Oreochromis niloticus: one gene and its partner. The protein of the gene in region 2 interacts with the protein of the main gene of each other region in a pairwise test. Links are inferred from orthologs where the notes say so. Each region holds a gene or a part of one and is shown on either strand. Other genes may lie near its edges.

What was found.
Region 1: the proteins of coiled-coil domain-containing protein 158 (region 2) and gpsm1b interact in a two-hybrid assay, tested with the Homo sapiens proteins (2 studies listed by BioGRID and IntAct). The link is inferred for Oreochromis niloticus from reciprocal best matches to the Homo sapiens genes CCDC158 and GPSM1.

The regions. Positions count from the first base shown.
Region 1 is NC_031972.2:19,260,365-19,264,288, reverse strand, and holds the start of gpsm1b (G-protein-signaling modulator 1b), read right to left. Parts: upstream 3,142-3,924; 5' UTR 2,615-3,141; coding exon 2,466-2,614; intron 1,244-2,465; coding exon 1,022-1,243; intron 1-1,021. UniProt on the Homo sapiens protein: Guanine nucleotide dissociation inhibitor (GDI) which functions as a receptor-independent activator of heterotrimeric G-protein signaling.
Region 2 is NC_031977.2:28,603,232-28,607,155, forward strand, and holds the start of coiled-coil domain-containing protein 158, read right to left. Parts: upstream 2,685-3,924; 5' UTR 2,660-2,684; coding exon 2,527-2,659; intron 2,445-2,526; coding exon 2,387-2,444; intron 1,705-2,386; coding exon 1,565-1,704; intron 1,253-1,564; coding exon 1,065-1,252; intron 940-1,064; coding exon 830-939; intron 751-829; coding exon 456-750; intron 366-455; coding exon 313-365; intron 1-312. Other genes in the region: cyclin-G2, read left to right, coding at 3,913-3,924.

The DNA of each region.
Region 1 (3,924 bases), on a different chromosome or scaffold from region 2:
ATGATTTTCTTTATTTGTTATACATGTAAAGTTATGCACAACCCTAGAGAGTCACTGACAATGCATTATAAAGCATAACAAGCACTAAATAGAGCACCATGTCCACTAATTACTTTAGGCTTAATCATGCATCGTTGAATCGGAACTTGTCAACACGATTAGTTCCTCTCTGGTTGCTATGGCCTACTTTCTCTTCATGCTGGAAGTGAGAAATAATTTCCCCATTGTGTTGTTCTCCTTTTTTCACTTTCACACTTTGAAACTGAGCAACTAAAAGATGGTATGCACTAAGTGCTTGCAGTTACTATATGCTCTTATGAACCTGCTACTACCACATTGTTTCATTACGTTATTGTCCTCTAGCAGGCGGCCCAGATGACCCACAGGAAGCCACGAGTTATCCATTTAGCTAATGAATAACCATTAAAATACTGTAACAACAGTTGCCTACTTCCAAGGACCAAGCCCCAGTGGCCCTGGTGAGACTGTAATGTAACAAGGTAAATCTCCCTAGGGTCCTTAATCAGTTCCCTGCAGGAGTACCAGCTGCACTAACTGCAGGAGACCAGATTACTCACAAGCTAAATATCCAGTTGGTATTTGTCAACTGTTACTACGTAAAAGTCCCCTCACTTTTTAAAAAAAATTTCTTTGTCTGAAATTCATGAAGGTCTCACGTAAAGGAAAAAATGTGAAAAAGACTGTTTTCCTTTTGAACTGTGTGTACATCAAATAACAGAACGTAGCATATGATTCCTGCATACTGGTTCATAGTCCTCTTATATGTCCGTGTGCTGGATGCAATATGTACGCGGGGTTTATTGATCTGTGTATAAGTTCCCTTATCGTAACAATGCAGCTCTTCTCAGCTAAAGTGCCTGTTAACTGATTTCAAATGTGAAATTTATCAACTGTTTACTGTGCAGCAAACAGATTGTTGAATGAGACTCCCAAGCAGCTCAAAACAAGCAGCACAAAGCTGAGGTGAATGTTTTACTCATAGCTTGTGCACATTGCTCACCTTGCTAAGGTAAGGTCATGTCTGTGGTATTCCAGGGCTTTGCCATACTCCTTAAGGTAGAAGTATGCATTGCCCAGCTGGCTGTAGATGGCACTGAGGGTCTTCAGGTCTTCTGTGCCGACCTTTACGGCTGCTTCGAAAAACGCTGTTCCCCCTTTGAAGTCCCCAGCCTTGCATAGCCGCTCTCCTTCCAAGGCCAATTCTAAACACGAGGCCTCCATCCTGCAAGGTACACGCATACAACAAAGTCATGAAACTAATGAAATAAAAACAATAGCCCTATCACAGATTAGGACATACAGTAAACATGGATACCATTACAGTGGGAGTGAAATATACTTTCACAGAGAGGCAGTATCACCATGACAACAAGGTCTGTAATAAATTCTGTGGATGGTTGCCTTAGTAACTGAGTTTGAGCTCGAAGATGAACACCCTGAAAAGGTGATACACTTTTAACTGCTTAAATCAGTTTACAGCCTGATGTTCGAAGACGTGCCGTTCTTTTGCATGTTCTGAGATTTTCATGAGGATATGAAACAAAATAAGACAGAGACAGAATGTCCCACCCACACCAGAGAGATAAAACATTTGAAAAACAATATGGTTCTCTACTGACTGCAATCTGAGACAATGTCATCCATTCACTTCCTTAACTGCTTATCCACTTCAGGGCTGCGGCAGCTTAAAGCCTACCCCAGCTGTCTCTGATGAGAGCAGGGGTATGGTCTGGATAGGATGCCAGACCACTGCAGGGTTATTGCATGAAGTCTTTCAAAATCTGGTATTTCTGAACAGCTAAAGGGGTTTGTATTTTGCCCTGTGTCGCACTCCATGCCTTGAAGTTAACAAAACTATGTTTCAGAGATTGAAGTTGGCTGCTGAGCTAAAATACATCAGCACATTCCAGGGAGAGATTCAATAGATACCAATGTGTCCGGCCAGAACTCACGCTGAGTTTACCACTACTCAAGCCACTAAAAACAATTCTGAGCATACGACAAGGCTTCATGAGTGAGCTGTATCCAGAAGTATACACCCTAAATGCATTGCATAATCCAGGATAAACAAGACCAGACAGTTTAGTAGTAACACTAAATTCCAGATAAAGTACTAGAATGTAGAGATAAGCAAGGATTATCCTTGCATCTAATCAAAAGGCTTTGCAAAAGGCTCCATTCAAAAGGTAAAGAGATGTACCATGAGTTTTTTGCATTACAGCTTATTTACTGTCAAATCGAAGATGCGAATGCATCTGCCTTTTTGAGGCAAAAAGGATTTACTGTGACGGGAACAGTAATTTAAAGCAGCTGACGTTACACTATGTTCTAGTCAGATTTCATAACATTGCCCTAATATGGGATGCATGTGTTCACCAATGTCATTTTGGTTTGTAAAACCTTGACGGGTTCCTTTTGAGTTTTGTTTTGTTTTTTTACAGTACCTGTGTTTTTGCTTGGTCCTTGTTTTGTCCACATACACCTGGAGCTCCAGAGGTAAAGGCTTTAGCATAGCTTGAGGTCGGGGTCCACAGTGGACAAGTCTACATACGGCTCTCTCTGCTCCAGTCAGAGGACAAGGCTCAGATGCCATGAGGGTACTGTTAAATAAAACTAACTTTATCAGAAAACTCTTAAATTAACTCTGTAGAATTAACTCTGTAGAGTTAATTTAAGTACTATGCCTACAACTAAGAATTCCTCTCACACTTTAACAAGCTGTGGTCTTATAAAGTCCATATTTCCCAGCTTCAATAAAAACCACTATATCAGCAACATTACAACAAACCTGGACACACTCCAATTGTAAATTCTAACCACAGTCCAAAGCCAGCCGAGAAAAATGTGTGCTTTTCAAGTCCTCAAGCTCGTTCCAAAACTACACGGTGAAGCAACCTGCAGACAAAACAGTCCAGAGGGAATTTCAGATAATTCCACAAGAAGGTTGAGCTCCAAAACAAGTGAATTTCTAAGACGTCACAAGTTTACAAGTTTATGTTTTATTAATCCAGGTGATTTTAATCAAGTTAAGATATCCATTGTTGTTATGTAATTCAGTTCCTGCTACTCCCAACAGAAAATTGTGCTCATCTCTGATCCTCTTCAACTTCTCCTCAAGTCTGACCCGGAGACCAGTTGTTCTATCAGGTTTAAAAAGAACAGGGGAGCATGATGACGGACCATTCTGGGCAAGAGTAGAGGAACAGTCAATGATTACAAAGTGAATACCTTACATCTAAGCTTGACCATTGCCCCAATGAGAGGCAGAGAGAAAGGATGAGAGAGACAGGGATGGCTAATCCAGTGCCATGCACCTCCTCAGTAGAGACAATACAGCACAGTGAGTGGCCTAAACAAATCCAACTACCTGCTGACACTAGCATAAACATTATTAGGTCACCAACCGAGACAGATGACACTGTGAGTAAATAAGACCTAAGGGACGTATTAAGTAAATTTATTTTCACTAAAAAGGAAACGCATGTTGCTTTTCTGTTTTTAATCTTTAGATTAACTTTATTTTAAAGCTATAAAAAACACTTCCTGCATGAAAATCTTGCCACTATGACACACGTGTCCAAGTACATTAACAAGTGCCCTACTTAACCGAGACAGTGTCACAGGGGCAGCAAGCAAAATACAAGCTAAATAAGGAATTTACAAGAGATCTCTTCACTACAGCGTTGTTTTCCCCTTTTATTAAATATCAGTCTATACAGTAACATGGAAATATACACAGGAATTTACATTTAAGACGGTTCTTTTTCCTAAAAGTTAATTTTTGCATTCTACATGTATACAATAAATGCTATTTTTGCATTTTAGGGCAAAATTACATGATAAAATTTAATGCAATTAAATTACTTGTTAATGTTAATTCTCAGTGCACAATGTAATAAAGAG
Region 2 (3,924 bases):
TATTTTCAACAGAATAACTTAAACTGGCTGCTCCATTAAGAAATAAAAAAAACAACTGTTACACTGAAGTTGGTATTTATACTATAAATATTCTTCAAAAGTGAAACAAATTATGGCAAAAATCACACACAAACATTCTGATAATTTATCATGTAAATTTGCTGCTTTACTTTGTACTTCGTGTGAGTGAGTGGAAAATCTTTAGCTTTTGTACAACAGGTTTGACAAACCCAGCTCTAAGAATCTGTGATGGGCAGTTGTTGACATTCAGTAAATGACAGAATTCATTGATTAGTTAGGAAAATTATATACCTTTCCTGTTCAATTGCTCCACTGTATTCCTTGTTCCCTATCTGATCTTCTGACTGATATGAAACAGAAAGAAAAAAATCACAAGTCATATTTTTTTTGTAAAATACACCCATTATTGTACTCTACTGAATGCTATCACTTACCAAAAAAGGCCTCCCCTGTAGCTTGTCGTTCAGTCGTTCATTAGGAAAAAATTGCTGCGTTTCGCGGTTCCCATGTTTAGTGCCGGTGACTGAGTGTTCAGATTGTTTCCCATCCAATGTATGATACACCTCCTTTATGGTCTGCTCCAATGTTTCAACTTTCCTATTAAGCGCGACTGCCTCATTCTCCATCTCCTGCAGCTTCTTGTCCCTCGACCTTTTGAGTTTCTGAAGCTCTTCCAACAAGCACAGCATCTTTTCCATCTGATCAACGTGTTTCCTCGAATCCTTTAATCTAAAAATCAAAAGATCTGTGGGTCAAAGTGATTCAGGCATTTTATTTTATATATGTAAAACTGTATCTGTGTTTTCACCTCAGGTCAGACAGGGCATCTTTCTCCATCTGGACTTTATGCAGCTCAGTTTTCAGGTTTGTGATGGCTTTCTGAGGACAGCATGTTTCTTGTTCAGCTCGATTAACTGTCTGTGTTTGAGGAGATGAAACATAAAAGATACATAATGCAGAAAGTGCACTACCCTCCTCTGCTATTCACATCATACATAACCAAACTATTCCAAAGGATTTATGGATGCAATAAAAATATGAACCTTGTTGAGCTGCAAGTCTGACAGCTGCTGAAGGCAGTCATCCATTGCATTTTCTAACACCTCCTTTCCAGGAGAGCTGATGTCCCTTTGGGCTACTTCCTGGTTTAAAATATCCAGACCAAAGACCAAAGGCTGAGTCACTGCCTGCTGGTGGGTTGAAAGAAAGGAGGAATCTCCAAGAGAGTCATCTGCCAAAACAGCAACAGACGTTTAAAACACTCAGAGCGTACGCTGTCACTGTTAAGATAGGGTGTTTGTTTATGTTGAATTCTTTCCCTTCTGTGTATGCATACTAGTTATTTGGATTTAAACATTTTCTGAGACTAAAATAGCTTAGAAGAATTTGAGCTTCAGTACTTCTGTGCCTTTGGTTTTCAGCCATTTTATTCTACTCTGGATTTTGTAAAACAATAATAAATAAGCCATTAGATAACACATTTCCCCCCCATCTTTCAAGTTAGAGTGGCATAAACAAGATGTGTGGAAACACTTGTACTCACAGGTATGAGGTTTAATATCATGGCAGCTTTGTCCAGGTGACCTACAGCTGCCGCCAAATCTCTCCAGAACCACCTTAGTTGCATTTTCCACCTCTTCTTGTAGTCTTTGGGTTTCTTTGGTGCGGCGATCAAGCTCATCACTGTCAATACATGGAAGCTCAGGCTTAGACTAACTCATACAGTGAATTCAGTTCAGATTTGTTTACTAATAGTGCCCACTGCAGCACAGCCTGATTTATTTTCTTTTTTCAAAACAGAAGGTTTTAAGCCTAATCGTTAAAGCTGTGAGGAAGACTGCCATGCATCAAAACCAGGACCTGGTTCCACAGGAGAGGATAGCTGAAGGCTCTGCCTCCCACTTTACTTAAAGCACAGTAAACTACAAGTAAGCAGGGCAGTCTTACAATGAAGTGCTCTGTTAGGATAATATGGTACTATGAGGTTACTAAGATATTCAATTTTGGCTTCAACAGGAAGCCAATGAAGATGAGCTAACACGGGACAAATGCGATCTCTCTTTCCAGTCCCTGTTAATACTCTTGCTGCTGTGACTTGGATGATGATTTGATGATTTGGATGCTTTTTCGGGGAGCTTTTAGAACAGCCGGCTTAATAGGAATTATAACAGTCCATCCAAGAGTGGCACATGCATGAACTACTTTTCAGTATCACTGTGAGACAGGACATTTATAATCTTGATAATACAGTGCAATATAGTGAAAGAAAGAAGTCTTAGTCAATATAGTGAAAGAAAGAAGTCTTAGTGCAATATAGTGAAAGAAAGAAGTCTTAGTCTTAGTTTAATTTGGGTGAGTATGTTACCTCAGCTCGTCCAGCGTCACACTGTTGAATCTCAACCGAAGAGGGGTACCATGGGGATCTATAAAATAAATAGGAACCGTCCAAGTTACTGAAATAAAGTTTAGCATACTAACAAGCAATACTTTGCTTATTTAGCTTACCAGCGGTTCCAGTTCCTGCCGCTGTTGCTGTTCTATCTTTCGCTGTGGAATGGTATCGTAAAACGTTAGTGCCACTATTGACGGAAAGCCTATAGCTCTGGGGCTCAGAGGACTCGGACCCCGTGGAAGACATCTTCTTTTTATCTCAAGTCATTGATTAAGACATTTACAAGAACCTGCTAATGACAACTGCACCACAGTCTTGCTTCTACCAGAGTGTGCAGTTTCATCACCATGGAAACAGCATCGGTAGTAGTGACGTGTCATGCGCAAAAGCATCGGCTCTAATCAGAAGAGCCAACTCCCATCAAATTTGCCAAATAAAGCTAAAATATGAGGCTACAGATCGTAATATATTAAGAGCGATTTGGGAGCCAAAAGAGCCAGCTCTTCTTTGGGTGCCGTGCCACAAGAGCCATCACCAATCCGTAGCTAATTTGGCCGACGTAGTTGAGCGGTCTTTGAGTGTAACCGTTAAAATATAATGACAGACTGGATGTGAAAGTCAGAACCTGTGAACTACAAGTTTATCGGTTAAGTGACCGTAAACAGGAGGTAAAACATAATTATCCCCGACGGCTTTAAGTAATCGGCCAACAGGCGCCTTTTTGTGCCACTTTGTTACGCAAACAGGCAAGACGTTGCGTTTCTAGAGATGCATGATGGTTAAAGTAGTTTTCTCCAGCAGGTCAGGAGCTGCTTGTTTATTACGGGCGGCGGGGAGGGGGTTGTCGCTCTTCGACGGTGATCGAGGTCTTATTTTATTATTTCCCGTCAATCATCTTAATCAAAATGGAAACATGGAGGAGTGAAATCTAAATTGAAGTCACGGAGCTGTTACTATCCTGCACGCCTTCCGCTCCTGGGCAAGGTAAAACGACTGCTTGATTAGCGCTAGCTAAGTTAGCTTACACAGGAGTACTTTGTGTGGGTGACGCCCCCCGAATGTTTTTTTGGCAATTATAGATGTTTTTGTTTCTCAAAACACAATTTCTAAAACCCAAAAGAAGGAAATAGCCTAGCTCTATTAATTCGCCCCCTTCTGTAATATGTAATCATCTCCCTGTTTGGATTAGCCCGGTGACCTAGTTTCAGGTCAGTGGTCATTTAGCTCAAATATCTACATCTACTTCGATTTGGTGGTGGTTTAGTTATTGTGCTTCGACATATTTTATGCATTCACTTAATAAATCACTTATAATATTGTAACGATCGCCAGGTTATATATTATTATTTATTTATTTATTTATTTATTCGTAGGGATACCGGACAGCCTGTAGGTGTGGTTTAGGAGGCAACAGTTACAGTTAACATAGGCTTACTCTGACAGTCTCTTGGATTTTAATGGAAAATAAGAAACAAATATTACACTGTGTTGTTTTCCAGATGAGGGATCTT